Linked DNA regions of Oryctolagus cuniculus. The protein of the gene in region 2 binds, or shares a complex with, the protein of the main gene of each other region. Links are inferred from orthologs where the notes say so. Each region holds a gene or a part of one and is shown on either strand. Other genes may lie near its edges. The genes, in order: RUSC2, RAB35, ACAP2 and DENND1B.

Region 1 (7,640 bases), on a different chromosome or scaffold from region 2:
CCTACCGCCCACACTGTGAGCCCTGCCCAGCTGTGGCCGACCTCACAGCCTGCTTCCAGAGCCAGGCCCGTCTTGTCGTGGCCACACAGAATTACTACAAACTTGTCACCTGTGACCTGTCCTCCCAATCCTCCCCAAGCCCGGCTGGCTCTTCCATCACCAGCTGCTCGGAGGAGCACACCAAGATAAGTCCCCCACCGGGCCCTGGCCCAGAACCAGGCCCAGGCCAGCCTTCTGAGTATTACCTATTCCAGAAGCCCGAAGTCCAGCCAGAGGAACAAGAGGCAGTGGGTTCCTCGGCAGAAGCAGCCGCTGCCATGAGCCCCACTATCCTAGAGGGACAAGTGTACACGAATACGTCACCCCCCAACCTCAGCACGGGACGTCAGCGCTCCCGCAGCTATGACCGCAGCCTGGAGCGCAGCCCTGCTGTCCGCCTGGGCTCACTGGAGCGCATGCTGAGTTGCCCAGTACGCTTGAGTGAGGGCCCTGCAGCCCTGGCAGGGCCTAGCTCCCCACCCAGGAGGGTCACCTCCTTTGCTGAACTGGCCAAAGGCCGGAAGAAGGCTGCAGGCTCTGGCTCCCCCCCACTTCGGGTGAGCGTCGGGGACACCTCCCAGGAGTTCTCACCCATCCAAGAAGCCCAGCAAGACAGGGCGGCCCCACTGGATAAGGGCACTCACTGTAGCCATAGTCTACCACCCATGCCCTTGGGACCAGGCATAGACCTACTCGGTCCAGAACCCTGGTCCACCCAGGTCTGCCAGGGCCCCCAGTCCAGTGAGACGCCACCTTCTGGCCTCAGAGCTGCTGAGCAAGGCCCCCTGGCTCCACTGATGGATCCAGGGCTTGCTGTCCCAGGGAGCCCAGCCAACAGCCATACCCAGAGGGATGCAAGAGCTAGAGCTGACGGTAAGGAACCTAAAGACTAGAGATTACCAGGATATATGCATGGCCTCCTCTGTGATAGGTCCCCGCTAACCCTTCCATCTGCACCACTTAGAGACTCCTCAGTCTCCATCTATTATCTTTCCAGTCTAGGGTGTGCTATAGTATAATGGAGTAGGAACAGGGGGAGGAAGATAGAGAATTGAAAAAAATACACCAAGGAGATAAAAATCAACAGGACTTAGAGACTGATGTATTGAAAAAGGAAGTATTCAAAAGGCGGTGATTCTGAACCTGGATGACTCCTAAAAAGATGATGGTAGCTTGAATAAGGTCTGGTTTTTCTTGTTTGTTTTTGTTTATTTGTTTATGGGAAAATCCCAAGAGGAATTTCTTTTTTTTAATAACTGTTTATTCATTTTTACTTATTTGAAAGGCAGTGACACAGAGAGGAGAGGGAGAGCTCTTCCATCCACTGGTTCACTCCCTAAAGGCCTGCAGCAACCAGAGCTGAGCCAAACAAGAGCCAGGAGCCAGGAACTCCATCCAGGTTTCCCAGCTGGGAGGCAGGGACTCAGTACTTGAGCCGCCATTCGCTGCCTCCCAGGCACGTCAGCAGGAATCTGCATGGGAAGCAGAGGCAGAGGCAGGGCTCCATCCCAGACACTCTGATATGTAGGTATCCCAAGCAGCAGCTTAACCCTCTGCACCACAACGTCGGCCCTGTCAGATAGCATTTGAACACAGAAATAGACTTACTGAAAGAGGAACAGGGTTGTTCAATTTTGGAAATTTGTAATTTTCAGTGCCTAAGAGACCACCAAGGGATATGTCTAACAGGAAAACCACACTGGATACCAGTGAAGTTCATTCTTTGATCAGTAATTTTCACCACTCTCCAAGGAGCCCGAGACCTGACCTATGAGCCGTAAGCTCCAGGTAGCCCCTCCCAAAGCCAATTCTTTCCCTGTTTTATTAAGTTGTAAGAATTTCACCTCTGTCCTCAAGGAATTTCAGCTAAAATTGGAAACAGAAGAGGAAACAAAGTTGAAATGCAGAGTTGGCAGTGTGTGGTACTGGTGGATGAGAAGGGATATCTAGGACTGAAATGTCAAGGAAGAACCACTTACACAGTTTACGTTTAAGCCCAGTCTCACAAGATGATCAGGAATAGGTTTTGTGGAGACTTGTAGGAAGAACCCTCTGGGCTGATAGAGTCACAAAGACATAGGGCTTGATGCTTTCCAGAGGCTACAAATACGGTAATTTGGTATAGTCATGGAAGAATGGGGTAGAACCCCTGAAGGGTTTTAAACTGGGAATTACTTTTTTTGTTTGGTGGGTTTTTCCTTTGCTTACCAGCATATTTTGATTTGCATTTTAGAAAGATCATTGGTTAGATGGAAGATGGACTAAAAGAGATGTTTCCATGTAGATTGGAAAGTCATTGGAATAAAAGTAGTAGTTGAAGCTAAATGAATGGGTGACAGCATCCAGGGAGAGTGTATGGAGTTATAAAGGGGACAAGGCTGGGGATACTGTGACTCAGGGGGTGATCTGGTCAGCTCTCAAAAAAGACCAGGAGAGAATAAAGTCACAGAAACCAAAAGAAGAGAAAGTTTTTTTAAAAAAAAGAGGTTCAACAAAAAAAGTTCTAAAGAGAGATCATCTAAGATAAGGCTGAAGAATCCTGAAAACAATTCAGAAGTATCTCAGAGGGTTTGGGAAGGAGGGGATGGGGGTGGGGGTAGAGGGCAGGGGCAGCAAGTTCCCGGACAGCTGTGCCCATAGCCTTAGGTTGGGTCTGCTGGTTTCTCAGAGGGGTTTAAAAACCACAAATGTACTTCCAGAGCTCACAATCCATTAGAAAAGGCCACACAATGAAGTACACAGTGGAGACGTCCTTGGGGAAAGGGGAGGAGAGGGAGTCTCTGGGGGAGAAGCAGAGCCTGGGCCAGAGCCCTTTAGAAGCGGCTCCTTCTCAGACTGCAGGGCCTGCTGGGAGCAGCTGGTGGGATGCTGTGCTAGCATCCTCAGGGCAAGCAAGTCCTGATCAGAGGTGGAGAAGGAGCGTAAAAGTGGTTTTTTCTATGCGATGAGACTTTTCCCACCAAGACGCTGCTGTATGACAGAGCTCTTCGGTAATGCACTACAGGGCTCTTTTCTTGATTTTGTACCTTTTTTTTTTTTTAATTAAAAAAAGTGAAAAGAAGAGGATGAGGAGACAGTAAACTCAAATGGATCTGACCAAATTTTGAAAGAACAAAACTAATAACAGAAGACAAATGTGAAATTTGGTTTCTAAGCTGTCCTGAGCTGACTGGGGATAGACACTGGGTCAGCTCAGCCTGACAAATTGAGTTTAAATAAGTGGAGAGGAAGAAGACATCCAAGGGGGGAAAGGCAGTGTGCTTACAGAGGGGAGTGGGAGGGCAACAGCAAGGCTGACAGGTGTAGAGATGTGCCATGTGGTGCTTCCGGAAGCTAGCCAGTTATGTGCCGAGTCTAGGTCCACGAGGCTGGGCTGAGTGAGGAGTGATGCTGAGGATTCAGCCTTTAGTTCCTGCCGTGCCCCAAGCTCTGCTCTAGGCACTGAAGACATGGCAATTAGAATACAAAAATCACAACTCTTTTGGAGTTGTTATAAAGAGTAATAAGCAATAAACACATAAAGGATAATTTCTCATGGTGAAAAGGACTACAAAGAAAATGAAATGGAACAATGGGGTAGAGAGCAGTCTGCCACAGGGACTGGGCTGCCCGGTGACAGTCTTATTGAAGGGGTGGTTTGTGAGCTGATGCTGAATGATAAGATGTCAGGCAGAAACAGCAGCAGGTCAGCAGGCTCTGAGAAGGTAATGAATTTGGTGTATTTAAGACCAGAAGCAGGTAGGGCTGGAGCCTAGCGAGTAGGGAGAGTAACAGAGTTTGCTCTTTAAGAGCTGACTAGGGATGGTAGGAGGGCTTAGTTTAATATGTCCCCTGGGAGTGATTCTGACCCACTTCCCTAATGGGTTAGGGTCCCATCCACTGTGACTTGTTGATGAAATAAAAGATAAGGGACAGGAAAACCCAGCCTGAGAAGTGTATGTGATAAAGACACTGGCCCGGCCGGCACCACAGCTCAATCCTCCGCCTTGCGGCGCCGGCACGCCAGGTTCTAGTCCCAGTCGGGGCACCGGATACTGTCCTGGTTGCCCCTCTTCCAGGCCAGCTCTCTGCTGTGGCCCGGGAGTGCAGTGGAGGATGGCCCAGGTGCTTGGGCCCTGCACCCCATGGGAGACCAGGAGAAGCACCTGGCTCCTGGCTTCCGATCAGCGCGGTGCGCCGGCCGCGGCAGCCATTGGAGGGTGAACCAACGGCAAAAGGAAGACCTTTCTCTCTCTCTCTCTCTCTCACTGTCCACTCTGCCTGTCAAAAAAAAAAAAAAAAAGACACAGGCCCAAACTCAGACTCTGGCTTACACAGAAGTATAGCTCTGCCACTTTCTAGTTGTGTGACCATGAGCAAATAACTTAATCGCTATAGATTTCAAATGTCCTGATCTGCCCAGTAAGAATACTGATTCCTGGCATAGTACAGTTATTGAGCTACTGGGTTGGTGAGCCACACCCAGGATTTTAGACCATGTGAGTGCTTCTAGCGCCACCTTGTGTTCATTCCAGCATTCACCATGTGCGCAGTGTCAGAACCACAATCGGTCCTGGAGTCCTGTATTTAGTTCTTAGGGACGTGGACCTGAAGACCGGCTGGAAGAACAGGAGGGCTGGCGCCCTGCCTCACTAGGCTAATCCTCCGCCTTGCAGCGCTGGTGCACCGGGTTCTAGTCCCGGTCGGGGCGCCGGATTCTGTCCCGGTTGCCCCTCTTCCAGGCCAGCTCTCTGCTGTGGCCAGGGAGTGCAGTGGAGGATGGCCCAAGTCCTTGGGCCCTGCACCCCATGGGAGACCAGGATAAGTACCTGGCTCCTGCCATCGGATCAGCGCGGTGCACCGGCTGCAGCGCGCTGGCCGCTGCGGCCATTGGAGGGTGAACCAATGGCAAAGGAAGACCTTTCTCTCTGTCTCTCTCTCTCACTGTCCACTCTGCCTGTCGAGAGAGAGAGAGAGAGAGAGAGAGAGAGAGAAAGAAAGAAAGAAAGAAAGAAAGAAAGAAAGAAAGAAAGAAGAGTTCTTGATTTGCTCAAGAACGAAATGTGCTGGTGGGGAAATGAGCAAAAATCCTGACTCGGACCCCAAGTCTCTAGGCCACAGAGAGAGAAAACGTTGGTTCTGCCATCGACAGGAATGAAAGTCATTGGGAAAAGGGGGCAAAGGCACGGGATGAGCTCTTTTAAGGTACAATGTGTCCATGAAAGCAGAGCCCGAAAGCAGAGTGATCTAGAGCTCAAGTGGAAGGGCAAGGCTAACGCTGTGGGCCTGGGAGACACCTGTAGGAAAGCCTGGACGGGAGTTGGGCAAGGGGAAAGTGTAAGACTTGAGCCGTAAGATAACACCATCTTTAGATTTGAGAAATGAAGAGGTGTGAAACAGCAGGATTGCAAAACACAGGAAAGAGTCTCCCAAAAGAAGTGGGCAGCAGTGGCATGTTCCGCGCGCTGGGATTAGCCTTACCCCACTCACTTCCTGCAACCCAGGTCCTGCCTGTCTTGCCCCTTCCCCAGTGGGCCTCGTCTCTTATCTCTGCTTCTGTTTCTTCTCGTGTGGCTTCAGTGTCTGCCTATCTGAATCCTCTCCATCCCTGTTGCTACAGGGGGTGGTGCTGAAAGCCGACCAGTCCTTCGCTACAGCAAGGAGCAGAGGCCAACTACACTGCCCATCCAGCCCTTCGTGTTCCAGCACCACTTCCCCAAGCAGCTGGCCAAGGCTCGGGCCCTGCACAACCTCTCCCAGCTCTACAGCCTCTCGGGCTGCAGCCGTACACAGCAGCCTGCCCCACTGGCTGCCCCTGCTGCTCAAGGCCCAGCCCCAGCTCCCTCCAGGGAGCCACAGGCGTCCACACCCCGAACCTCTGGCCGAGGTGCCAGGAAAGCTGGGCCTGAGCCAGAGACCTCACGGCCATCACCCCTGGGCAGCTACTCCCCCATCCGGAGTGCTGGCCCCTTTGGGCCCAGCACTGACTCTTCTGCCTCCACTTCGTGCTCCCCTCCCCCAGAGCAGGCCACAGCCACAGACAGCCTAGCCCCATGGAGCCACCCCTGTTCTGTTGCCCGGCCTGCCACCTCCCAGCTGCCACAGCAGGAAGATCAGAAGACACTGACCTTGGCTGAGTACCGACTCCATGGAACAGGAAGCTTGCCACCTCTGGGCTCCTGGAGATCTGGCTTCAGCCGAGCAGAGAGCCTGGCCCGGGGAGGCGGTGAGGGCAGCATGGCCTCCAGGCCCAGTAACGGTATGCGCGTCACTGCCACCACCCCAAGCACTTCTGTCTTTATGCTCTGACTTGGGGGTCAGAGATTAAAATGTTCGCACCTCTGTCCCCAGCACCTGTGGATAATGTCCACATAGTCTTAACTCTGGTGTTTCACATGGGTCCATTGGGTGGATATGAAACCTTGTCTCCTACTAACTCTTGCCTATCTGTCTCTTCTGCTAATCTGATCTACTTCCAGCCAACCACCTATCCCCTCAAGCCCTCAAGTGGCGCGAATACAGGAGGAAGAACCCACTAGGGCCACCTGGTTTATCAGGCAGCCTAGACCGAAGGCCACAGGAAGCGCGCCTGACCCGAAGGAACCCCATCTTTGAGTTTCCTGGCTCTTTCCCAGCTGCTGGCCATCTGAACTGCCGGCTGAATGGTGTGTGGGCAAGGTTCCCAGACCCTGCTGTGGTGGGGAGGGCTCAGTCCCAAAGGAGCATGCTGGAGGCCCTGAACTTGATTTTTTTCTCTTCTTTCCAGGTCAAATGCTGAAGCCATTACCACTGACCTGCCCTGACTTCCAAGACCCCTTCTCCCTGACTGAGAAGCCCCCAGCTGAGTTTTGTCTGTCCCCAGATGGCAACTCAGAGGCCATTTCCATTGACCTGCTTCAGAAAAAAGGTGACTAGAACCCTGAGCTCAGGTCAGAGTTGCTGCTATCACACTACTCACCTATACATGCTGCTGCCCTACTTTGGGCATTTAAGACAGGGAATATTTCCCTGTCTTAAAATTCAAGTGCCAGGAAGGAGTTGGAGAGCACTGGGCCTGGAGGCAGTCACGTGGGTACTGTTAGTGTACCGTGAGTGAGCCAGGGTCCTTTCTCAGATGCCGAACCAGGCTCTTCCCTGAGTGAGCTAAGCATGATGGGGGAGGAGGTGGCATGTGCCAGAAAACTGAGTGCTCTCGGTCAAGGGCCCGGGCCTGCAGCTTTGCTAAGTGTGCTGGTGACATTTAGTAAGAGGAAGACAGGCAGGGAAGGCAGCCAAGTGCCAACTGAACCAAGGTTAGAGCAGTTTCAGTGAGCTACTGAAGGAAGAACTGAGCATAAATCACAAATGTGGGCTGAACAGAGGAGCCTGTGAAACGAGAGAAAGGTGAAGTGGAAGTCCCTTGCAGAGAAAGGAAAGAACCTTGGGCAGGACGCGAATGGAGGGAGAGGGGTGCAGATGCAGTACAGTTATGTGTCTTGGAGGAGAGGGAAGTTGAAGGAATTCATGACCAGTGGCCTCTGTTCTCTGCAGGAAGTAGGACGAAGGGCTGAAGAAGAGGGGCAAAGGTTTGGCATGGCAACTTGAGGGTGGAGCAGAGGGTGCTGACAAGGCACATATCGAAG
Region 2 (7,640 bases):
GGCTAAGGACCTCACCTGCTTGGTTTCATTTAATCCTGATTAGGAGTCCTGGGCTCCTCTGCATTCTGTGGACAAGAACACAGGTCCAGAGAGGGCAGAGGGCCAGAACCTGGTGGATTAGGCAGGACTGGAACTGAGGGCTGTGTGATGCCAAAGCACAGGCCTTGACCCAGAGCCCAGCCCTGCTCCCTGCTGCCCCCACACCCTGGCATCGGGGCATATGGCCTCTGTCAGTGCTTCCCAGCAGGGTGCAGACCAGATGGGGGACTCAGCGTGGCAGACACAGTTAGCCCTGTGGCCCTGAGGAATGCTTCGGGCTGGGCCGCGGACCCTGGGGTGCCTGAGCCCTTTCAGCAGCTGGAGCCACAGCCCCTCCTCTGCTGCCTGAAGTCAGCTGCCGGGTGGGACGGGCAGGGCAGAGGCTGGGCCAGCTCCCCATTCTACTGGGGAGACTTGGAGGAGTTACTCAGCTGCCTGAGGCAAAACGTATTTTTCCAGGGTGCCCCTGGCTGCTCGGCCTGCTGTCTATGGAAGCTGAGGGTTGGCTGTCTCCCAGGGTCCCTGGCTGTGGCCCCCATGAGGCAGGAGGGAGCTCGGTGCCCTGTGGTGGTGGCTGGTGAAGAGAGGCGCCCTGGGGAGGTCAGCGGTTTGCACGGCAGGTCAGTCGGGGTGCGGCAGACTCGGGGCATTCAAAAGAGAAAATGAAACTGCTGCTGTGAGCCTCACGGGCTGCCGTCCCCCTCCCAGCTCGCTCTCAGCAGCCGAGGTTTGCTGGCCGGGGTGGAGTCAGGAGGGAGGGAAGCCCCTGGCCCTGGAGTCCAGCTTGTCAGCACTTAGTAAGTAGTGGCTAGAGCGCTCGGCACGGTCCTAGCCCGGTTAGTAAGCGGTGGCTAGAGCGCTCAGCACGGTCCTAGCCCGGTTAGTAAGCGGAGGCTAGAGCGCTCGGCACGGTGCCCAGCCCAGAGCAGAGTTCAGCAAGTGATAGTGATTCCTGGTGGGGATGGGAATGGGGTCCTGCAGCGCCTCCGCCTTCCGAGCCACTGCTCCAAGCCCCTGACTGCGTCCCCAGGCTCATTCTTTGCTCCAGATACAGCAGAAGTGATGCCCACAGCCAGCTGTCAGCAAAGGAGCGGGTGAGGCACTTGCACTACTCCCGCTGCACCCCTCCCACCCCAGTCGTCTGCGCCCCACACCGGCGGCAGCCCTGCTGTCTTGGGGCTGGAGCCACAGCAAGACAGTTCCACTGTGCTGGCTCTCCCAAAGCCAAGGTGCACCGTAGCTCTGGAGCAAAGCTGTGGGCAGAACCCAGCACCTGGGGAGGGTGGAGATAGCCAGGGCAGGGTGGGGGTGGGGCTGACCCCCGGGCACAGCGAGGCTCTCTGCTTGCTGCAGCCTTTGGGGTTGCCTCCTTCTTACCTGTCTGGGAGTGCAGACTGAGGGAACCTTGGTGACGAGCACACCCACACTGCCTTGCAGGCACTTCGTCCCCCTTTTTCCTTCCAGCTGCCCCAAGGGTTAAGTGCAAGGTTCCCTGTTGTAGTGACGAGGGAACGGGGGCTGGTGAGGTGGACACAGGAATGCGGCCATGGTCCACAGCCTTTTGGGGATGGAACCAGGGCTGATCTTGGGCCTTGGTCGGGCCTTGGATGTGAAGCGTGTGCCAGAGAGCTGAAGGGCACGGATGAGAATGGAGCTGTACCCACTGCCTGGCAGTCCCACCCTCACTCAGTTCCCGTCTCGGCCTCTGCACTGGGCTCCGGGCAGGGACTGATCGCCTCAGAAGCTGGGAGGTGCTCAGGGCAGGCAGGTGGCCACCTGTGCCCTCCTGGTTTGCATCCGTGGTTCTGGCAGCTTTAGGGAACCGCTCTGAGGGACAGCACAGGGTAGTTACGTGGTGTTGGCGGCAGCAGTGCTTTCTGGTCTCTGGCTGTCGCAAAGGAACAGGTGGCCCTGGTCCTCTTCTTCATCCTGGGCCTGACGCCCTTCATCCGAGCTCCCGGGACGCAGGGGCTGAGGAGGAATGTGTGGCTCCTCCTCCTTCCGCACCCTGCTGGGCCGGGCTCTGTGCACTTGGAGGATGGCACAGCTGGAAGTGCCCGGCTGCCGCAGGTGCACACTTGGCCAGGACTTCTTGGAAAGGCATCTCTCTAAGTCAGCCTTGAGAAGGCAGTGGTTCCTGAGTGTCCAGAGAGGACAGGGAAGATCTGACATCAAATACAAAAATCGCCTGAATTCTAACAGCAACAGCTTCAGAGAGGTTTCACGCTAGCAGCAGGGGTCGGCCCCGGTCACAGGTGTGAGGAGCCCGTGGCTGCCCAGGCGCCAGCCACAGGGACCTGTTTGTAGACACACAGACCTGGTGAAGTGGCTGCTCATGCAGGCTGAAGCTGACACACTCTCGCCCTCCAGGTATTACCGGGGGACCCACGGGGTCATTGTGGTTTATGATGTCACCAGTGCCGAGTCCTTTGTGAACGTCAAGCGGTGGCTTCATGAAATCAACCAGAACTGTGACGATGTGTGCCGAATACTAGGTGAGGCCGGGCCCCATGAGTGGGGATGGTGAGATGGGTGGCCGGGGTGCTCCTGCAGGGCTGGGCTGACCACTTTTTGCCTTGAAGTGGGCAACAAGAATGACGACCCTGAGCGGAAGGTGGTGGAGACAGAAGATGCCTACAAATTTGCTGGGCAGATGGGGATCCAGTTGTTTGAGACCAGTGCCAAGGAGAACGTCAACGTGGAAGAGGTGAGTCTGGCTGAGGCCCTGGGCGGGGCCTGCATGCCTCCTGGTTGACCCAGCCTGTTCTGCCACACAACCCTCCCCTCCCCACTCCTGGCCTGCTCGGGGCATCTAAGTGAGCAACAGAGCGTCACGGTAAGCACCGCTCAGGGTGTGCCTACTGTGTGTCAGGTACTGGGCCAGGCCTTTTCAAGGTCTTAGTGTGTGTCTCAGTAGTCCCGAGGTGGGCTGGAATTACTCCCATGTCTCAGGTAGGGGTGGTGGGGCTCCAGGTGTGTCAATAATGGATGGAACAGCACCCACCTGTGAGGGGCTGAGTGAGACTGTTCCCATGCTAAAGCCACGCACAGCCCACTCCAGTCCCCATCTCCTGGGCCTCCTTGTCCCCGGGATTGCCACGCCTTCCTGTGTAGCATCCTCTGTGGCCTTGGTTTCCCTGCAGAGATGAGGTTGCTTTCCTGTGGCCCCCAGGCCCCCTCCAGCAGAGGCGGCTTCCCCTCCGCACCTCCAGGCCTGCTGGAAAGCCGCTGTGATCCTGTGGGAGCGAAGCCAGACCTTTGCCACAGGCTCAGCCTGCTGCCACTCACTGGTCTTAAGGGGAGCCCTGCCTCCTGGCGTGTGGTGTTGAGAGGCCCCAGAAGTTGGGATCCCCACTGCATGGGGGACACAGGCCACCCAAGCTCCTGAGACAGGCTAGGGTCAAAACCCAGGATGTAAGCTCTCCGAGCTGTGGACTGGGGGCAGTGGGAGCCCTTTCTTGCAGGTTGTGGTGAGTGGTAGCAAGTGCTTTGCACACAGCGCACGGCTCAGCTTTTTCGTACCTGCTGCTCTGGCTGAATGCAGGGATGTGGGTTGTAGGTAGTTCTCCTGGGTCCTGGCATTGGAAGGTATCAGGTGGTTTGGGAAAGGCCAGACCTCTGGGCCTCAGATGCCATGGGGTGGCAGGCTGAGCCCACCCTGGCTCTGTCTCCCCCAAAGACCTTTGCCTTGTTGGAAGATTCCAGCGGAAGGGGTTCTCTTAAAAGAAAGGCAGGAAAATCCCCAAGGTTGACTTCCCCAAGTCTGCACAGTTCCTGGTGCTTTGATGTTGTTCCTTTTTCGCTTTAAAATAACTCGCCACCCCCTTCTAGAAAGGGCACTGAGGACACACAGGTGCTCCCTGCCTTAGGTGGGGTGATGTCCCAGGACCGCAGTCAGCACTGCACTGAATGCCTAAGTGAACACGCTAGGTGTGCGGAGCAGCACGGCTCACTGCAAAGTGCATTTTGCCCTCGTGAAGGTGGAACTGCCCAGGGCCCATGTGGCCAGCCCTGGAAGAGACAAAACCCAGAATTCCAAGTATGGCTTCTACGGAGTGCATATTGCCTTTGCACTACTATCAGGCCGAAAAATTCTAAGTGGAACCGTCATTAAGACGGGGACCACTGGTACGTGTACAAAAATTCACAAGTACAGACAGAGCCGGGCCCGGGAGGCAGGGAGGCGTCCTCGCCAGGCCTGAGGCCCTGCCTCTGTCTCCCGCACAGATGTTCAACTGCATCACAGAGCTGGTCCTCCGAGCCAAGAAAGACAACCTGGCCAAACAGCAGCAGCAGCAGCAGAACGACGTGGTGAAGCTCACGAAGAACAGTAAACGAAAGAAACGCTGCTGCTAATGCCCGCCTGCAGAGACTGCACTGCGGCCCCAGCCCGAGGCCCGAGGGGCTCCTCGGCGGACGGTCTCAGTTCCGTGCCGTTATTTAAAGAATTCTCTCCACGTTTTTGTACCGGGAGGCGCCATCGGCACTTCCTCCCCTCCCTGAGTGCCAAGAAGGCGTTGGACGAGCCCGCCCTTCCCTCCTGGTGCCCTCCTCCCCAGCCAAGGCGCCTGGACCTGGCGAGGACGCTGCCAGCCGAGCGGACCGAGTAACCCGTTGTACATAGTGTAAATTGCGTTAACCAGCTGCACACCCTCGTCCTGCTCTGGCTTCTGCCTCCTAAATGCCAGCCTGCTGCGACAGACCCTCCTGCTGCCCTCCCGTCCACCCTACCGCCAGCAGCTTCCTGAGGGGACAGCATCACGTTCTGGCCACGTCTTTGGCCAACCTGGGTCAGTGGAGTGGGCTCCACGTTGCTTATTCTCTCCTACAGGTGTCAGCTTCTGTCCCCGGCCTCCAGGCTTTCCCCGTTCTCTGCGGCCTGTGCCAACCCATCCTGACCCCAGACCTGCTCTGGGAGCTGGGGCAGCCTGACCTGGACGGAGGCCCTGCCGTCTGCTTTCACAGAGGAAGTCAGTCCTGCTGTTGGCCAACAGGTTTCTTGTCCTGCCTCCTAGACCCTTCTGAGCTACAGACCCAGGGGAGCCCAGCTTCTCAGCGATACCAGCATGTCTCCGTCCCAGCAGGAAGGCAGGGCTGCGTGTGCAGATGGGGCGCACAGTGGGCATTAGACTACTTTAACAGGTAAAGAAAATGAAGCCAAATCAAGTGAATTAAATTGCTCACAATTATTTTCTGTCCCTGAAATTTGGCACAGCAGCAAAGGTTGTGGCCACTGCATTTTTGGCCCAGGGTTTTTAGACAAAGTAAATGGCTTCCTGTCACCGTGGGGCTCTTGGCTGTTTCTTGGGAAAGAGAGGGCTGCCACTGGTGTCAGGAGACTGTGACATGGGGCCGTGGTGTCAGGGCTGCCGGACAGCAGGGGGATGACACGACCACCGACAAGAGCAGTCCGACCACAAAGGTGGTGGGAGGCCATCTCCACTGGTGGGGAGGAGTGGCACAGGGCAGTGCCCTGGAGGAAAAACCATTGTGACCTGCCCCCGACTACTGCCCCTCTGTCCCTCCCCTCTCCCCTAAAGGGATCACGTACGCTGGGAAGAATTGATTTCAGCACCATGATGTGTTTTATTAGATTTCCTTTCCTAGGCAATTTTCAGGCAAAGCCCTCACTGGACAATCACATTGCAGATCACGCTGCAGATTCTCCATGTTAACACTGTGGATGGGTTTGTAATCAATAAAAACTGGGGGTTTCTTCTCACCTGTTTCTCCACTTGTCCATACTGCCAAAAACGGGGGTTCTGTGCTGCAGGCTGGGGTTGGTGAGCCGGGCCTGGGAAGGTGGGTGCGGGGTGCTGCGTCTGGCTCAGGGGAGCTGGGATCAGAAGTGGGGGTCCTGTGCTCAGGACTGTCCTAGCTGGCTGTTGGCCTGTGGTGGCCTCTGAGCAGAGTCAAGCAGCAACAGGCGGTCGTGGGAGCCTCCAGCCCTGGCTCGACACCCATGTAGCTTGTGGGAACTGGACGCCCAGACCCAGGTGGCAGGGGTGAGCGTGGGATGACAGTGTGCCTGTCACACGGAGGGTTACACGCATGAACGGGATGGGGGGGGTGGGGGACTCGGGGCTGGACCGACGTCCTGGTGGACCGGCTATGAAATTCATGTCAAACAATACAACTTTTAAATGGTTTGCTAGGATTATTTCTGTATTGAAAGTTTCTAATTATGCTTTTTAAAAAAAATACTAAAAATAAAGGTTCAAGCTGCCAAATTTTCTTGCAGGGTCTGTTTGCTCTCCCTCCACTTGTGCCCTGGGCGGGCCTGGCTCCTTCCCGCCCATTGTGTCCAGCTCTTGTTCTGGGCCTGAGTTTGGCGCAGGTGCCTCTGGAGGCCCTGGACCACGTGCAGAAGCCAAGTCCGTTTTCTCCGTGAACACGTGGTCGAGGCTGTGTCCCCTCATTCTGACGCACTGGCACTGGCTGGAGCACACGCGGGCAGGTGCCAGGGGAAGGCCTGTGCTGATTCTCCACAGGCCGGAGGGTGCGGCAGAAGCCTTCGCCTCGAGTAATGCTTCCGGCTGGAAGTTTCTGCCACGCTCTAGGGCCCTGCTCTGGCCTGGGAAGTGGTGCTGGGCGGGAGGGCTGCCTCAGTGCAGTGCAGCTCTGGCCAGGAGCCCAGGGCCAGGCTGGACACGGAGGCCGAGCCAGATGAGAGGGTGCAGTGACCCACCCTGGCAGACTCCATGAGGGGGTGGCCTCCAAGGGGCAGGGACCGTGACTGCCGCCTCCATAGCAGCCGGGGGGGGGCTCTGACAGCTGCTGGAGCCCAGACAACCCTTCCCACATCCAGTGACTGAGGCAGGAAGCTCTGTAGAAATTCTTTTTATTCTTATTCAGACTATTTTCAAAAGAAGCAGTGGTGCGCTGTTTATCTAAAAATATGCCTTTATAGATTTATATATGTATATTATAAAATCCATACATGTATTTACACGGTTGCTACATACAAAATCCCAGCACTGTGGTATGTACATATCTATAGGTACATTCTTTCCGCTCTTCCCTGCTGTGCTTTCCCCGGGAGGGAGGGAGACCGACTCAGTGGTGAGCAGCTGGGCCCGTGCAGAGAAGGTGGAGTGGCTGCCGCGCGAGGAGCAGAAGCAGCAGGGTACAGGCCTGGTCCCTCCAGGCCTGGTGGGCAGTGTCAGGAGGTACCCAGCAGTGGTGCCAACGCTGCCCTCGAGGTGTGGGGCGGCGGACCACAGATCCCTCTGGGACCATCCTGTGGCCTGGGCTTGCTCGGCTGCGCCAGGAAGTGGCGTGAAGGGGTAGGAGGCTACAGTGGGGAGGCCAAGACCCTCCTGGCCCTGGCCCAACAAGGACCTGTGGCACACACTGCTGGCCCGGCCCTGCACCGGGGTGAGGCTGCACTGCAGGCAGCTGGGGAGGGGAGCCAGTGGCCAGGGCCCTTCTCCCCGCGGCTCGGGAAGGCCTCAGCGGAGCCCAGGTATCCCCAGCTCTTAGGCTCTGAGGCCTCAGGCGTGGCCTCCTGCCTGCAGAGGTGCATGCACGTGGGTGAGGGGCCGCCTCCCCCACTGGACTCCCTGGGTCAGGGCCTGGGCAGGAATGGAGGCTGAGGCCTT
Region 3 (7,640 bases), on a different chromosome or scaffold from region 2:
TTTTGGCTGGTGTGATTTCCCAGAGAAGACTCACTGGTCTTTTGCATGGGGGTAAGGGAATGGTTTAGAGCTAAGTGCTAAGTATCTCCTTATCCAGGATGTGTCCTAGTCCCTTTTCTGCTGCTATAACAGAATACCACAGACTGGGAAAATTATAAATCATGGAAGTTTATTTGACCCATTGTTTAGGAGGGTAGAAAGTCCTGGTGAGGTGTTCTTGTTGCTTCATAACATGGTAGAAGGGCAAGTGAGAACCTGCAAGAAAGAGAGTGAGAGGGAATGGAACTTAACAGCAAACCTCTTAAAATAACTAAGTCACCCCTCAGCAACACGAACCCATTCCTAAGGGCTGAGCCCTCATGACCTGTTCACCTCTTAAAGATCCCACCATAGTGTTACAGAGGCAATTTTATTTCAGCATGAGTTTTGGAGGGGACATTTAAATTGTAGCAGTTATGTATACACTCACTTAATCACCTGTTTTCTACCTTTCAGGCAAAACCCATGCAGACTCACTGTTTTACTTCTCTAGAGAATAAACTTCCACTCCTTTGTGTTTTTGTGTAGACAGCAGTCTAATGGCATGGGGGCCCTGGCTGGGATCTGGCTGCTGCTTAAACTAACATTCCTTCTGTTTTCATGAATAAGTGTTGTGTTCAGTGCTGTATTTCTTGAGATGGCTGGAAACGTTCAGCTTCTCGAATCTAGTGCAAAAACATTAGTATATGGTCAGAAGGTGAGAATTAACTTGATTTCTGTATTATTACACTGAAATTCTTTCTCTGAATGATAATTGCTTTTATCATAGTTTACATTATGAAACATGTTCTAATAAAACAAATTATATTTCTATTTTTGTAACATTTAAAAAAACTAAAACTTACAGAGAAGTTCCAAGTACAGTACAAATAATATTTCCCCTGAACCACTTGAGAGTAAGGTACCAGCATGATGCCCCATGCATCATTGTTTTAATGAGTGTGTCTGTCCCATCATCTAACACATTCTTGGGTATTATCATGGTCCAGTTGTCAAAGTCAAGAAATAAACATTAATATATCACTATGATCTAATTTCAAAATGTCATTAAAGTTTTAACAGATTTTTCTAGTAATGGTTTTTACAGCAAAAATAGCCAGTCTGGAAGCATAAGTAGCATTTGGTTGTCATGTTTCTTAAATGTCCTTCAGTCAGGAATAGTTCTTCAGTCTTACCTTGACCTTATGCCCTTGGTAGTTAGGAAAATGACAGACTAGAGCACCCCTCAACTTGCCTGATGTTTACTCATGAGGTTATTCATCTTTGGCAGGAATGTTATATCAATGATATTGTTGTGTCCTTCTAATTGCATTCTCTTACATGGCACACGTTTTGATTTATACCACTGATGATGATGTCAATTTTTATTACTTGGTTAAGGTGATATCTTCCTAGGCTTGTCTACCAAAGGTTATTTTAATTTTTGTTGGTAGCATGTATCTTGTAGGAGAGGTATTTTGAGACTATGTAAATATTATGTTCCTCATCCAATTTTAAAATTTAATTTATGACAAAATTTAGTTCTATTAGCATAAACTCCTACTTTATTCAAAGTGTTATAACCCATTATTATCGTTATTTAGCCACTAGAGCCCCTGTCTTGTGTATTCTTTTGATTTGTCCCTATTAATCTAAATATTTCCTTACTTCCTACATGACAAGATGTTTCAGGTTCATCTTGTGCTTTTTCTGCACTAGCCAATGAAATCATCCATTTCTCCATGAAGTGTCTTAGTTTCTTTTGGTGGAAAATGGTATTTAGAAACCAAGATAAGGTTTATAATGTATATATATACACACACGTATACACATTTACATTTACATTTATATTTATCTACTAAAATGAAAACCATTTCTGTGCCTATTGGTATCTCCAGTTCCAATCTGATAAACAGAATTCATTCTAGTTTCTCCTTTCCCATATAAATAACTTTATTCTCTATAGTGATAAATCTGGCTTCCATTTATCTTTAATATACTTACATGTATCTTAACTCTGTAGATTTTGACCCATAGTCTTGACTGCCCAGCCCTACACATAGACTGATACCTCACACTAGGTTGTACTCTTTGAGTGCTCCCCAACTCCCCGCTTAGGCCTCCATTTCCTTGCTCTTCTGTCTCCCTGTGTAGACATCCTCCGTACCCTGCTTGGGATCCAGCAGCATTCTCAGGATTTCACTCGTCTATAGATAAGTTTCTCACCTGGCTTCATTGTCTCTGGAATACCTTGTCTCCATACTTAAGCTTGCTAGACCCTACCTAGTGGCTGTTGAATTCGCTTTGATCACTTTGTTAGGAAAGGCAAGACGAGCCAAAAATATGTTTTCTTTTTGTATATATGAAGATTTATTTATTTATTTATTTGAAGGGCAGAAACAGACAGAGACAGAGAGACAAAGAGAGACAGAGAGAGAGAGACAGAGACCTTCTACCTGCTCATTCACTCTCCAGATGGCTCCGATAGTCAAGACTGGGCCTGCCTGAAGTCAAAAGCCAAGAACTCCAACTGGGTCTCCAATGTAAGGGTAGCAGGAACTCATGTACTTAAGCCATCATCTGTTGCTTCCCAGGTGCAGTAGAAGCGGAGTAGTCGATACTTGAACCAGCACTCTGATATGGGATGTGGGGGTCTTAAGCAGTGACTTCACTTTTTGTGCCATATACCCGTCTCCCAAATTATTTTTCTAATGATTTTGTACTAAACTGCTGTCTTATTAAGGTTAGAATGTTTTTATACCAGAAGACTTTTTTATAGGCTTATCTTTTATTGCTTGGGATTTGTGAACCACATCTTTGTATTTGATCATTATTTCTATGTATACAGCAATGCTTATAAAATACTATTTCTTATTGGTATAGACTTCACTATACACTTAAAAATTAACTTTTTGCTTATTAGACATCTTTTGCTATTTTCCTGGTTTACCTAATAGCCCTTGAAACTTTAGACTTTGTATTTTTTGATTCACTCTATAATTGTAATTAGGCAGTAGATATGTTCTTTAGTATTTAACTATATAGGACTGTACCTTTTCTAGTTATTCACTACATTAATTAAAATAGCTTACTTATAATTCATTGGTAAAACAGTGTATAAAATAATAATATTTATTTTATTATTGAGTCTTGATAGTCTTTTATCTATTCCCTTTGGCTCCCATTCTGCATGATAGACTAGAATTTCCTTTCTTCTCTATCTTTCTATTTTGTTTATATATTCATTGTGTATGTTTAATTTTTAATATATACATGTTTATATGTTTCTCCCTACAACACTAAACATCCATTGATTTAGGAACCTGCATCTTTTCATCCTGGAATCTCCAGTGCCTGTAATAGTGCCCTGTTTTATCCCAGGATAGGCCTTTAATTTATTGATTGGAAGCCTTTGTTTGGAGCATGTAATGTCCAACTTGATATTACAATCTTTTTTTTTAAAGAGCAATAATTCTTAATTCTTTTAGAAGCTGGATAAGAAATCATCTCCATCCACAGGAAGCCTAGATTCTGGAAATGAGTCAAAAGAGAAATTATTAAAAGGAGAAAGTGCACTGCAGCGGGTCCAGTGTATCCCTGGGAATGCTAGCTGTTGTGACTGTGGTCTGGCAGATCCACGGTGGGCCAGCATCAACTTAGGCATCACCTTGTGCATTGAGTGCTCTGGGATTCACAGGTGAGTATACCTGCTCAGAGTGAGAGACTGCTTTTGGATAAACATACGTTATTAATTATTATGTTCCATTTGTTAGAGGGTCTTTTTCACTTCTCTAATTTAACTATCATTTTGTATCTTTTGTAAAGTGGATAAAGTTCTGGTTTGTAAAGTGCTTCTGAGAACTTTTGTATACTAGTTTTTTTTTTAAGATTTATTTATTTATTTGAAAGGCAGAGGGAAAGAGAGAGAGACAGACAGACAGACAGACAGACAGAGATATCTTCCATCGATTGGTTGAGTTCCTAAATAGCCACAATAGCCGTGGCTGGGCCAGTCCAAAGCCAGGAGCCAGGATCTTCTTCCAGGTCTCTCATGTGGGTGCAGGGGTCCAAGGACTTGGGCCATCTTCTGCTGCTTTCTCAGGTGTATTAGCAGGGAGTTGGATCAGAAGTGGAACTGTGGGGACTTGAATCGGTGCCCATATGAGATGGTGGCTTAACTTGTGTCACAGCTTTGGCCCTATGCACTATTCATTATAATTAATCAGATGATCATCCCTGTTTAAATGTGTGTTGCAGGCTGTATGAGAACCCATTCCACTTTAAAATAGAAAAATAATTTGTATAAATATGCAAACTGTGCCTTGATAGTTTTATGTATTAATGCAGTTTTCTTCTTTCCACTTAGGAGTCTTGGGGTTCATTTTTCAAAAGTGCGATCTTTAACTTTAGACACCTGGGAGCCTGAACTTTTAAAGGTAAAATAAATGTTACATAAAAATATTTTGTATTTTCACATAAAAGTGAACAGTTTAAAAATTTATGAGTTTCTTATGCTGACAATGAACTTCTTGTACTGGAAAACTTCTGAGACTGGAAAATTGGTGTTTTTAATAATAGATTTTTAAAATCGCTATGTTTATGTAGCATTGTTAGCTGCAAGTCAGTTTGTTCTTTAAGAAAATCAATGTCCCTAAATTTTTGTGATTTTTTTTTTTCAAAAAATCAGATTCTGTGCCATCTTTTGTAATTAGATTCATATTAAAAATATAAAAGATAGGAGAGAACTTCTCCAGAAGATGAATTAATGTTGGTTCAAAATTATTTTGAAATCCATGTATAGTTTTTCTATGATATATATTTTCTTTTGATTCCATTTCTCCCTAAATTTTGTGAAGTACTTTCTTGTTGCTTTAGTAAGTGACATAATGGATTAGTATAGCATATTGGCACCATTGGGTTATTTTAGCATAGGACCATTTGCAAATTGACATTTGTCAGGATAGATGTCACCAAACCAGGCCTTTCTTTTCTCCTCTGTGTCTGAGGATTCATATCCGTGGAAATATTTTTAATACTTTTAGATTATTAGTGGATTTCTGATAAGATTTACAGAATACCTTACAGTGAATTTATTTCCTGTCATCTAGTTTACCATATTGTAGAAAGTAGAATAGGATTAGAGTATATTCTACATTTATTTCTATCAGAAAATGGTGTTTTTAATCTGCTTGTGTCTTTATTTCAATCTATAGATAAACTGGTACCTTTGTCACTTAATGTAAAGTAAATTTACTTTGTGGAATTATTGTGTCATTGAAATTTCTAAATGAAAGTATGAAAGTGATGAATTGACTTCTCAGCTAAAACCCTATTTAGATAGATTCCATGAATTGTTGTGAACTCAAAGGGGAAGAACATAGGGGATGAGGGACAAAAATCTAATTCCTGCATTAGCTTTGTGTGTAGATAAGAATTTGGTGGATTCAGATGAGAAATTTAGTTGAAGTACATTTTTGAAAAAGATTTATTTATTTTATTTGAAAGAGCTATACAGAGAGAGGAGAGGCAGAGAGAGAGAGAGACAGAGAAAGAGAGAGAGAGAGATGTACCCCATATGATGGTCCACTCCCCACCCAGCTGTGCCTATCCGAAGCCAGGAGCCAGGAGCTTCCTCTAGGTCTCCCATGCGGGTGCAGGGGCCCAAGGACCCAGGCCATCTTCCACTGCTCCCCCAGGCCACAGCAGAGAGCTGGATCGGAGGTAGAGCAGCCGGGTCCTGAACTAGAGCCCATATAGGATGTCGGCGCGTCAGGTCAGGGTGTTAACCCGCTGTGCCACAGTGCTGGCCCTGAAACACATCTTGGTATCTTAAAAAAATGACTGAAACTTTTAAACCAAATATTTGGAAATACTTTTAAATAAATTATAAAGAGAAAATGGTTTACATCATTTTGACTTGTTGAAGAGAACTTGTCTGACTATAGGCTTCTTTGTGTTCAATTAATTCACCAGATGAGAATCATAAATAGCACTGTGCTATCCACATTGGAGGGATAGAAAACTATTAGAAGATGGTTTCAGATAGTCAAGAAGCTTTCAGTCATGTTGAGGGAGTGAATGCAAATGTAAAAAAAGAATTAGATAACAGCTGTAAGCATCTAATGATCTTTTTTTTTACAGATTTATTTTATTTATTAGAAAGACAGAGAGAGAGAGATGGAGACAGAGAGAGAGGTCTTCCATCTGCTGGTTCACTCCCCAGATGGCCGCAACAAGCTGAGCTGCGCCAATCCGAAGCCAGGAGCCAGGAGCATCTTCTGGGTCTCCCACGCGGGTGCAGGGTCCCAAGCACGTGGGCCATCTTCTACTGCTTTCCCAGGCCACAGCAGAGAGCTGGATTGGAAGAGGAGCAGCCGAGACTGGAACTGGTGCTCATGGGATGCTGGTGTTTCAGGCCAGGGCTTTAACCCACTGCGCCACAGCGCTGGCCCCAGCACCTAATAATCTTAGTTCAAACTCTTGATTCCAGCTTTGTGCTAATGTACACTCTGAGAAGGCAGCAGGTGATGGCTCAAGTACTTGGTCCCCTGCCACCTCTGTGGGAGACGTGGATGGAATTCCTGGCTCTTGACTTTCTCCTGGCCCAGTCTCAGCTATTGTAGGCATTTGGGGAGTGAGCCAGCAGACCAGAGTTTCTTTCTGTCTCTTAAATAAATAAATAAGCAAACAAACAAATGAGAGAATGATTAGTGTAGAGGGTTCTAAGAAATGAAGTTGTTTGAGTCAGGACTTTCTAGAGGAGAGTGAAATTAATCCGTCAAGTGGATGAGACAGTTGTAGAGCTTCAAAAAAATAAAATTTACATTGTAAAAAAGAAACCTGAAAATAGGGCAGTAAATAGAATCTTAAGAAAATTCCTTGGGAATATATGAAAGATGGGCTAGAGTGCCAAATACCGAGATTAGGTTTCCATTGGTAATTCTTTATTCTAGAATTTAAGGGGAGGAAAGAAGGAAATCTCTCTGTTTGGGCAACTATGTTTAGGAACAAAAAATAATTGGATACAGTTAAGGCAAGTTTTATAAGCCTTTAATTATTTTTTAATTAAAATAACATGTATTAAAGACAAGCTAAAGGTAACAAGCACACAAAAGGAAAATTACCTCAAGACAATAACAACCATCTTCTCTCTGTTATTATTTTGTCAAATATTCTTCCCAACTTTACTGTTTATAATATCTTTTTTAAGTTTTTTTTTTTTTTTTTTTTGACAGAGTGGACAGTGAGAGAGAGAGAGAGAGAGAGAAAGAAAGGTCTTCCTTTACCGTTGGTTCACTCTCCAATGACCGCTGAGGCCGGCACACCGCACTGATCTGAAGCCAGGAGCCAGATGCTTCTCCTGGTCTCCCATGCGGGTGCAGGGCCCAAGCACTTGGGCCATCCTCCACTGCACTCCCTGGCCACAGCAGAGAGCTGGACAGGAAGAGGGGCAACCGGGACAGAATCCGGTGCCCCGACCGGGATTAGAACCCGGTGTGTCAGAGCCGCAGGCGGAGGATTAGCCTATTGAGCTGCGGCGCCGGCCTGTTTATAAGAAAATTATAGTAATATACAAAATAAAAATTTTGGAAAATAGGGAATTCTCATTATGTTTTACTTTA
Region 4 (7,640 bases), on a different chromosome or scaffold from region 2:
TGGTATATGGCTCTACTTTAGCAGCACAAGATAAAGATTAAGCAGTGGTGAAATGAAAATGAACTGTTCTCATTGGTAATGAACACTTTTTCAGCCTAACTAATTTATTTCAAGCTTAATGACTCCTTTAATTGTGCTTAACAAAATATTGTCAGTAGTAAAGTAGTTAGGGCTCTCTAAATATGGAGTTTGTGCCCATACTTATGAAGGTGCATGTTCATAGAAAGCATTTTGCCCTAAAGGGCAAAAAATGTTTATTTATATGGTGCTTTTCATTCTGCTTCTGTGAGTTAAGGCTCTTGAAGCTTTCTTAGGTGTTGGTACTAGAATTTTACAAGGTCTTAATTTTAATTGATATCTTATTAAAATCTTTATTTTAAATGAATGCAAGAAATTCTACTTTAAAGCACTCAATACTATATGTATAAACAGAGCTTAAATATTCAGATCCTGATTTCCTTTTATGTAAGCTGTGTTGGTAGAGGTGGTAGATAAGGTATTTTTTTGAGAATGCTGCTACATTAAGATATTTGCTGTTATTTCTTTTTAATAGGAAATACATTCATAAATTTCTGCCTTGTAAGCTTTCCTGGCTTTGAAATTGTATAATATTGTGCTTAATTCTAAAATTAACTTTTGAGTCAGAGTTAATTTTATATTTTCTATGTGTAGCAAAATAGATAGTTTTATTTGGTGGCAAGTGGTTGACAGTTATTAGCATTTTGTTATAATTGTTGGTGCATATGCTCTCTGAAAGGTTTTACGATTATTTTATAATGACTATAAAGTTACTGAAGTTTTAAAATCAATCAGATTAGTTTCTAAGTTTAATTTGATGATTGATTTTCATATTAAGCAAATCTTAAGTGTAAGCACATAGAATAGAAGCTGTGGTTTAATTTAAAGTTTTGTTTTTATGTACACATTTATGTGAGAATGTTTTAAGATAAAACTTAGTATCAAGAGTTGAAACATACTTGTGTAATTGTATTTATTTAGCTATAGAAAATCTTTTTTTTTTTTTTTTAAAGCATTTGTCTACAGGACATAGTGGTGGTGGTAGACTTCTCAGTAAATTCATTCTCCTGCCAACTTCATTCCCTTTTCTCTGCCTGCATTTTAATTGAAACAACATTTATATTTTTGAGCCAGGATCTGTCAGAAGTCCCTATGGCTAGTCTGTAGTACAAGTAGCAGCAGCCGTGGCTTACCCATATGGTGCGGTGCTTCTTGTAAAATCCATATGGCCTTGTTGAAGGGAATCCCAGCGGGGATGTGAAGGGTGTTAATACCCTTCAGGCCAGGCCTTTCCCTCCTGGGGCTCCTGTGGCATTGTCAGTGCAATCTGCCAAAGCCCAAACGTAATTCCTTTTTAATAATCAATTATTTTAGTCTAGGAACCTGTGCTATTTTTCTCAAGGAAAAAAAACTTTTTTTCATAGAAAATGTCTTTAAAAAAGTTTTAACTACATCTTTTAAAAATGTTCTAAAGCTTTTTTTTATTTGCATTTGTAGGAAGTACTACAGACTGTGCCAAAGTTCTGTTTCCCCTTTGACGTTGAAAGGTATAGTATAAGTCATTATTTAAAATAACTTTAGCTCATTTTAGTGCACACTATAAAATGACTTTATGTGCTTTTTTCTAAAATAAAATGAAATGTGTGTTCTCTTCGTTGCTTCTAACAAAAAGGGCTAGAGATTCAAAATTAAATAATATTTGTAGTGAAGAAACATTTTAAATCATTTATATCTTTTGTTTTCTCTGGTGGCCATTTAGGAAAAGTCTGAAATGTATTGTCAGTAACATCTATTTCTTTGCATTATCTATCAGTTACACATTGTAAGCACAAGGAAAAATATTAATATGTCCTTGATGTCCTTAGAATTGTGTCTTTTAAAATTAGATATATCTATCCTGGTTTCTGTCTCACTTCACCCTAATTGAAAAGACCATCTGTGTGATGCTGTAACACTCCTGGGTTGATGTCTTCCAAGAATAGCTTTATAGAAATACTGCAATATTGTGGAAGGCTATAGGGAAACCCTGCTAGCAGTTTGAAAATCTCATTATATTTGTATTTTACTGAACAAATACTAAATGAACTACTTTTGTGTAGTTGAGATTTAATAGAATATATAGCCCTTTGAGCATAATAACATCATTTATTGTTTTTCATGTAATTTTCACACCCTATTATCAGTTTTCTTAAAAGTGTGGTATGAGGGGTAGATAAAAGAAATTTTATTTTAGGGAAATATTTTGCTAAAGTAAAGATTAATGAAAGTCTAATATTTTAACCATATTGAAAACAAAGACTTCCACCTGATTGGCTGATGAATAGTTATAAATATTGCTGGTAAATGATATTCCTTCTTTTACCTTATTTCTGGGGAATCAATTGTGTTCCCTGCAACCCCTGCCAAGTTACAATTTTCCAATTGATAATAATGATAAAATAAAGGAAGTAAAGATAAAAAGATGTTATTATAAACCTTGGACAGTGGAGGGCACATTAGTTGTTGGTGATTTTTTTGAAGTTCATAAAAGTTTTTAAAGAACTATTCCTTAACATTATATTTTAAAAAATACTCATCATTTGAGATGCAAGATTTCCTGGCTAAACAGTTTGTAGTATTGGTATAATGTTTGTAATTTATTTCCATTTTCAAAACCAAAGCTGAAGTATTATGGATTATATAATTCCTTACCAGGAAGTCATAAGATAGTTTACCTTAAGGTTTCATAAGACTAAATGCAGTCATAAAATATCCCAAAGGCTATCAAAATGCTATTACTGAAACTACAGAAATAAGAAGCTAGACATGATGACTGAGCCCTTTTGCTCAACCCTAGCCTCGCTTTCCCCAATTACACTAAACCTGATTAGATAGCAAATCATGTTGCTGCAGCTTCTAATGGCAGCCTCCACCAATTCTGTTTAATTGCTTCTTATGTTGACATTCTCACCCAATAAAGTACCACACAAAATACTCTTGGTATTATTTCTTGGAATTCTCTTTGAAGGCTACTAACATGTTAAGGAATAAATTTCTAAGTACAAAGTAAGAATATAATTTGTATTTTAAAAAAGCTCACTGGCTAAGCTTTAAAGATTTTTAGCTAATCTTGAACTGTCATATGTGTCACACTGAGGTGTAAGAGGCAAGATAAATCATTAGATGAAATATTTATATTTAAAAATATATGCACATATTTTCTGGCTATAATCTTGACATCAGACAACCAAAATATAATATCCATAATAATTCAGCTTTGGTTTTGAAAATGGAAATAAATTACAAACAAGATACTATAATTTATTATGATATGAGACTAATGATTTAGTTTATACATTTTCTACTCAAATGAATGCCACATATAAATATGTTTTTGCTTGTTTTTCTTCAAGAAAATTACCATAAAAGGCTTTGTATTTCCTAATCTTCCTATATTTTAGGGTGTCTCAAAATCAAGTTGGCCAGCACTTTACCTTTGTACTGACAGACATTGAAAGTAAACAGAGATTTGGATTCTGCAGGCTCACATCAGGAGGCAAAATCTGTTTATGCATCCTTAGGTGAGTATTTGTTGTTTTAAAAAAAAACAAAATTGATGCAAAGTAGATTACTCTCTCTCTCGCATTTTTTATATATGGGATGCAAGAAAAAAAATCACTTCTTATAGTTCGTTTTTTTCCTTTATAAATCCAAGTAATTTGAAAAAGAATTTTCCTTACTTTCACCCATCCACGTACTGAACAGGCCTGACCCTGCTTAGCTTCCGAGATCAGATGAGATGGGGCAAGTTCATGGTGGTATGGCTGTAAACTCCCTCCTTTCTATATACAGAATCCGTTGGGCTTAAAGACTTACCAATAACATACTCTAATTTTGCTTGAAGGACCTGATTCTTTTAATGATTTTTTTTGTGGATGATTTTTGAAAGTTAAATATTTATATGAGTTCCAGTAATGTGGGTTTTGCACCTTATATAGGTTGCACAAAATTCAATTAAATTATAGTATGCCCTTTTCTATCAATGAACCAGAACTTGTATTTTTTTTTTTTAAGATTTATTTATTTACTTGAAAGAGTTACACAGAGAGAGAGAGGCAGAGAGAGAGAGAGAAGTCTTCTATCCACTGGCTCACTCTCCAGTTGGCTGTAATGGCTGGAGGTTTGCCAATCCGAAGCCAGGAACCAGGAGCTTCTTCCCGTCACCCAAACAGGTGCAGAGTCCCAAGGACTTGGGCCATCTTCCGCTGCTTTCCCAGGCTATAGCAGAGAGCTGGATCAGAAGAGGAGCAGCTGGGATTCCAGCACTACAGATGGCGGCTTTACTGGCTATGCCACAGCAAGGCCCCAGAACATATATTTTTGAAAGTGAATTGCTACTTAAATGCAAAGGTTGCAAACTCTGATTCTAGGCAAAAAACTGTTTAGATATTTTTGTCTAGCCCAATGGGTATTTTAAAAAATATAAAACCTTTTGGTAACCTTATAAGCTTTAGGAAGTTTTATATAAAGTTTATATTTCTAATTCCTTCTGAGAAGTGGAATATCTGCTACTTGTGTTCCTGCACTCTCCAGTGGCTGCAGAAAGTTAGAACTTCATAGCAGGCCTTTAGCTGTGTAGTGAGCTTGTAGGTTTCCACAGGTCCTTCCTGTCCTGCCTTCATGGCTGACGTCATCTGCTTTGATGAGCAGGAGGTGAGAGCATCTCCTGCCTGCAGACTTTGCACCCCAGGGACTCGCTGTTGAGGAGGAAAGAGTCTAAATGTTATTGTCCTTGTAGTAAGTCTTGAAAGCAGGCATTGAAATGTGGTCCATAAAAGTAGCGAATATTTGGGGGGTGAACCAACAGAAGGAAGACCTTTCTCTCTCTCTCTCACTGTCTAACTCTGTCAAATAAAAAAAAATCCAATTAAAAAAAAGTAGGACTCTAAACAAGTCATATTGAGTACTGGTCAACCTAGAATCTATAGAGATGCTAATAGGAAAAGCAATAACATTTGATCTATAAATTAACATATTACAAAGAAAACTTTGATATAAAATTGCTGTTTTCTCTATTGGCTATTTACCTGTGTTTTTATTATTCATTGAGAATGAAGTTATTCATTTACTCAGGACAAACTTAGATCTGGAGAACTTGTTTTCAGTCTTTATTCAAAAGTAAATGCTTAACTGCTTTATAAAGTGATATAATGCTAATATGCCTTCATTCTTTCTTGAGGCATAAATCTTCCATTTCAATAACAATTGTATTTAAAACATATTTTATTCAAAGCTCATTATGCTTTAAATTTGTAGATTGATTTTTCTAACTTGGAACAGGTTGGCAGGGCAAAGGCACAGGGATGACAGAGTGGGGAGTGGTTGGGAGAGTGCCTTGTACCACTGTGCTTCAGGCTCGGGTTCAAAAGCTACAGCTTGAAGGGGAGCATAATTCGGGGCACTGTGCCTGATGATTTATCCTGGAAGAAAACCAAAGCTGTGTATGATTTCTTATTTTTCTCTATGAATTTTGGAAACTTTTCATTAAAAGACATTCACGTTTATAGAAAAGTTTCAATAGTTTAATGAACTCTTGCATAAACATCACCTAGATTTATCGGTTGCTAACAGGCATATCTCTGCTCACTCTCCCTTTCTCTCTCATTGTACATACCGACCCACACATGAACAAATCTTTCTTTCTCTCTATTGTTTTTCTTGGCACATTTGAGACTATCCCAGTAGTCTGTGTGCTGGGGTGTTCTTTGAGAACAGCTAATTTAGAGCATAGACTATAAATTAAGACTAAACAGAGAATTCAGATATTATGGAATTCAGCAATTCAGAAAGTTGTTGTAGATAAGTAAATATCTATTCCTAAGTTATAATTAGTGTTTGGAAAATCTCTGTAAATGCTGTAGTGAGAGGAATAATGATGTTTTGGGTCCTGGGTTTTCCACCCATTTTGATGGTCTTTCACCACATTATATTTGTCTTTGTAATTATTGAAAGGAATGATACAATTTTAATTATAGAAAATTCTGAATGTGCTTGAATAATAAAATTAATGTTTTGGCTAATGGTTAAGATGCCCACATCCCATATTGGGGTTACTGGGTTTAATTCCCAATTCTGCCAGCTGACAGTAGCTTCCTGCCAATACTGACTCTTCAAGATCCTGGTGATGGCTAAAGTAATTAGATTCCCGCCACCAGTGTGGAAGAGCTGGATTGAGTTCCTAGCTCCTTACTGTGGCCTCAGTCCAGCCCTGGATGTTGTGGCCTGTTGGGGAATGAACCAATGGATGTGCATGCCCTCTGTCTCTGCTTCTCAAATAAATAATAAAAGTTTAAAAAAATATATACTGTTGACTTTTAAGCAAATGATGGTGGCAGGCAAAGTTTTTACATACCTAACATGGAATCCTGAAACCTGAAAGACTGGTGTATTTGAATACACAATAATGAAAACTTCTGTTTGGTGACAAATTTATAAAGAAACTTTAAAGCAAAAAAAATAAAGTGCTAGAAATATGTTTACAACCACTGTAACAGAGTTAATAGCCAGATACATAATAATTGTTACAAGTTAATAAAAAAGAGCCCAATAAAAAATAAGTAAAACATCTGAATAAGTTACAGAGGAAATGTGGATAGTACATTCACCTGTAAATGATGCTCACAGCCTTACTGAGATATGAGAAATAAGGCTATCAAGATTGGCAGAAATGGAAATGTTTTTAAAATATCACAAGAAGTGCACATCTTTACTATCTGTAGGACTATAAGATGGCATCACCTTTTAAAGGGAAATCTAATCATATGTATCAGATTTTGGAACTCTCATACTCCTTGACTCAATGCTTTCAGTTGTAGGAATTTAAATCCTGGAAATAGTCGCAAGACGAAACAGAGAAGTATGAACAAAGTTATATATTACAACATGTTTTATAATAGCAAAAATATGTTAATTGGCTAGATGTAGTCATACGTACTTCAGAACATCATGTTTTATGTAATAAATACAATTATATCTGTAAATTGAAAAAACATAAATTACAAAATGGTGATGTGACTGTGTCTCAATAGCAGTTGATTAGGTGTGTTATGGTACATTCCCCAATAACCCCTTTGTGCCATGACTTTTCTTCCTCCAAACAGAATGTTACCTCCACAAGGGCAGAGGTGGTTTTTGTTCACTCTTACAGTCCTAGTGTCGGCAGCAGTTCCTGGCACATAAGGAACTCTTAATAGATTTAATAGATATTTGCTGAATAAATGAATGAATGACGCTTAATATGATCGAGTGTTATGTATCTTTTAGGAAAAATTATGCACAAATATATATCCTGACTTGGAGAAATGTTAATGATATTTTATAGTATGTGATGTTCTTATAAGGAATCAAATTATATGCATATATAAATGGGTATATATTTTAAGAAGTGCTATTAGAGCTGGTGCCACGGCTCACTAGGCTAATCCTCTGCCTTGCGGCGCCGGCACACCGGGTTCTAGTCCCGGTTGGGGCGCCAGATTCTGTCCCGGTTGCCCCTCTTCCAGGCCAGCTCTCTGCTGTGGCCCGGGAGTGCAGTGGAGGATGGCCCAAGTGCTTGGGCCCTGCACCCCATGGGAGACCAGGAT

What was found.
Region 1: the proteins of RAB35 (region 2) and RUSC2 are in contact, whole or in part, in a crystal structure (PDB 6IF2), measured with the Homo sapiens proteins. The link is inferred for Oryctolagus cuniculus from reciprocal best matches to the Homo sapiens genes RAB35 and RUSC2. Residues at the interface, in NP_006852.1 of Homo sapiens: Asp4, Tyr5, Leu8, Phe9, Lys10, Ser22, Leu26, Asp30, Ile38, Thr40, Val43, Asp44, Phe45, Lys46, Ile47, Lys58, Gln60, Trp62, Thr76, Arg79, Gly80, His82; in NP_001129471.2 of Homo sapiens: Val997, Lys998, Asn1001, Asp1005, Val1008, Thr1013, Arg1015, Lys1020, Glu1119, Glu1155, Leu1158, Leu1159, Gln1161, Pro1162, Leu1165, Leu1166.
Region 3: the proteins of RAB35 (region 2) and ACAP2 are in contact, whole or in part, in a crystal structure (PDB 6IF3), measured with the Homo sapiens proteins. The link is inferred for Oryctolagus cuniculus from reciprocal best matches to the Homo sapiens genes RAB35 and ACAP2. Residues at the interface, in NP_006852.1 of Homo sapiens: Arg3, Asp4, Tyr5, Leu8, Ile41, Gly42, Val43, Asp44, Phe45, Ile47, Lys58, Gln60, Trp62, Phe70, Arg71, Thr72, Ile73, Thr76, Arg79; in NP_036419.3 of Homo sapiens: Val715, Ala718, Asn719, Ala720, Asp721, Val723, Thr724, Arg727, Leu728, Arg730, Met731, Glu734, Met735, Ser738, Glu748, Thr749, Gln751, Arg755, Asp756, Gln759, Met760.
Region 4: the proteins of RAB35 (region 2) and DENND1B are in contact, whole or in part, in a crystal structure (PDB 3TW8), measured with the Homo sapiens proteins. The link is inferred for Oryctolagus cuniculus from reciprocal best matches to the Homo sapiens genes RAB35 and DENND1B. Residues at the interface, in NP_006852.1 of Homo sapiens: Lys10, Leu12, Ser17, Ser36, Tyr37, Ile38, Thr39, Thr40, Ile41, Gly42, Val43, Asp44, Phe45, Gln60, Trp62, Thr64, Ala65, Gly66, Arg69, Phe70, Arg71, Thr72, Ile73, Thr74, Ser75, Thr76, Tyr77, Arg79, Gly80, Thr81; in NP_001182144.1 of Homo sapiens: Met1, Arg4, Glu43, Ser47, Phe51, Val72, Leu73, Thr74, Asp75, Ile76, Glu77, Ser78, His211, Glu212, Arg213, Arg214, Gln242, His243, Ile244, Ile246, Leu249, His252, Leu253, Asp255, Tyr256, Cys258, Ala259, Pro260, Met261, Pro262.

What each region holds. Positions count from the first base shown.
Region 1 is NC_091432.1:198,510,815-198,518,454, forward strand, and holds part of RUSC2 (AP-4 complex accessory subunit RUSC2), read left to right. Parts: coding exon 1-912; intron 913-5,638; coding exon 5,639-6,277; intron 6,278-6,497; coding exon 6,498-6,683; intron 6,684-6,784; coding exon 6,785-6,925; intron 6,926-7,640. UniProt on the Homo sapiens protein: Associates with the adapter-like complex 4 (AP-4) and may therefore play a role in vesicular trafficking of proteins at the trans-Golgi network.
Region 2 is NC_091452.1:16,142,823-16,150,462, reverse strand, and holds the end of RAB35 (ras-related protein Rab-35), read left to right. Parts: intron 1-2,409; coding exon 2,410-2,534; intron 2,535-2,621; coding exon 2,622-2,746; intron 2,747-4,266; coding exon 4,267-4,395; 3' UTR 4,396-5,761; downstream 5,762-7,640. UniProt on the Homo sapiens protein: The small GTPases Rab are key regulators of intracellular membrane trafficking, from the formation of transport vesicles to their fusion with membranes.
Region 3 is NC_091435.1:84,276,573-84,284,212, forward strand, and holds part of ACAP2 (arf-GAP with coiled-coil, ANK repeat and PH domain-containing protein 2), read left to right. Parts: intron 1-3,506; coding exon 3,507-3,715; intron 3,716-4,384; coding exon 4,385-4,454; intron 4,455-7,640. UniProt on the Homo sapiens protein: GTPase-activating protein (GAP) for ADP ribosylation factor 6 (ARF6). Doesn't show GAP activity for RAB35.
Region 4 is NC_091444.1:13,951,790-13,959,429, reverse strand, and holds part of DENND1B (DENN domain-containing protein 1B), read left to right. Parts: intron 1-1,515; coding exon 1,516-1,565; intron 1,566-3,458; coding exon 3,459-3,578; intron 3,579-7,640. UniProt on the Homo sapiens protein: Guanine nucleotide exchange factor (GEF) for RAB35 that acts as a regulator of T-cell receptor (TCR) internalization in TH2 cells. Acts by promoting the exchange of GDP to GTP, converting inactive GDP-bound RAB35 into its active GTP-bound form.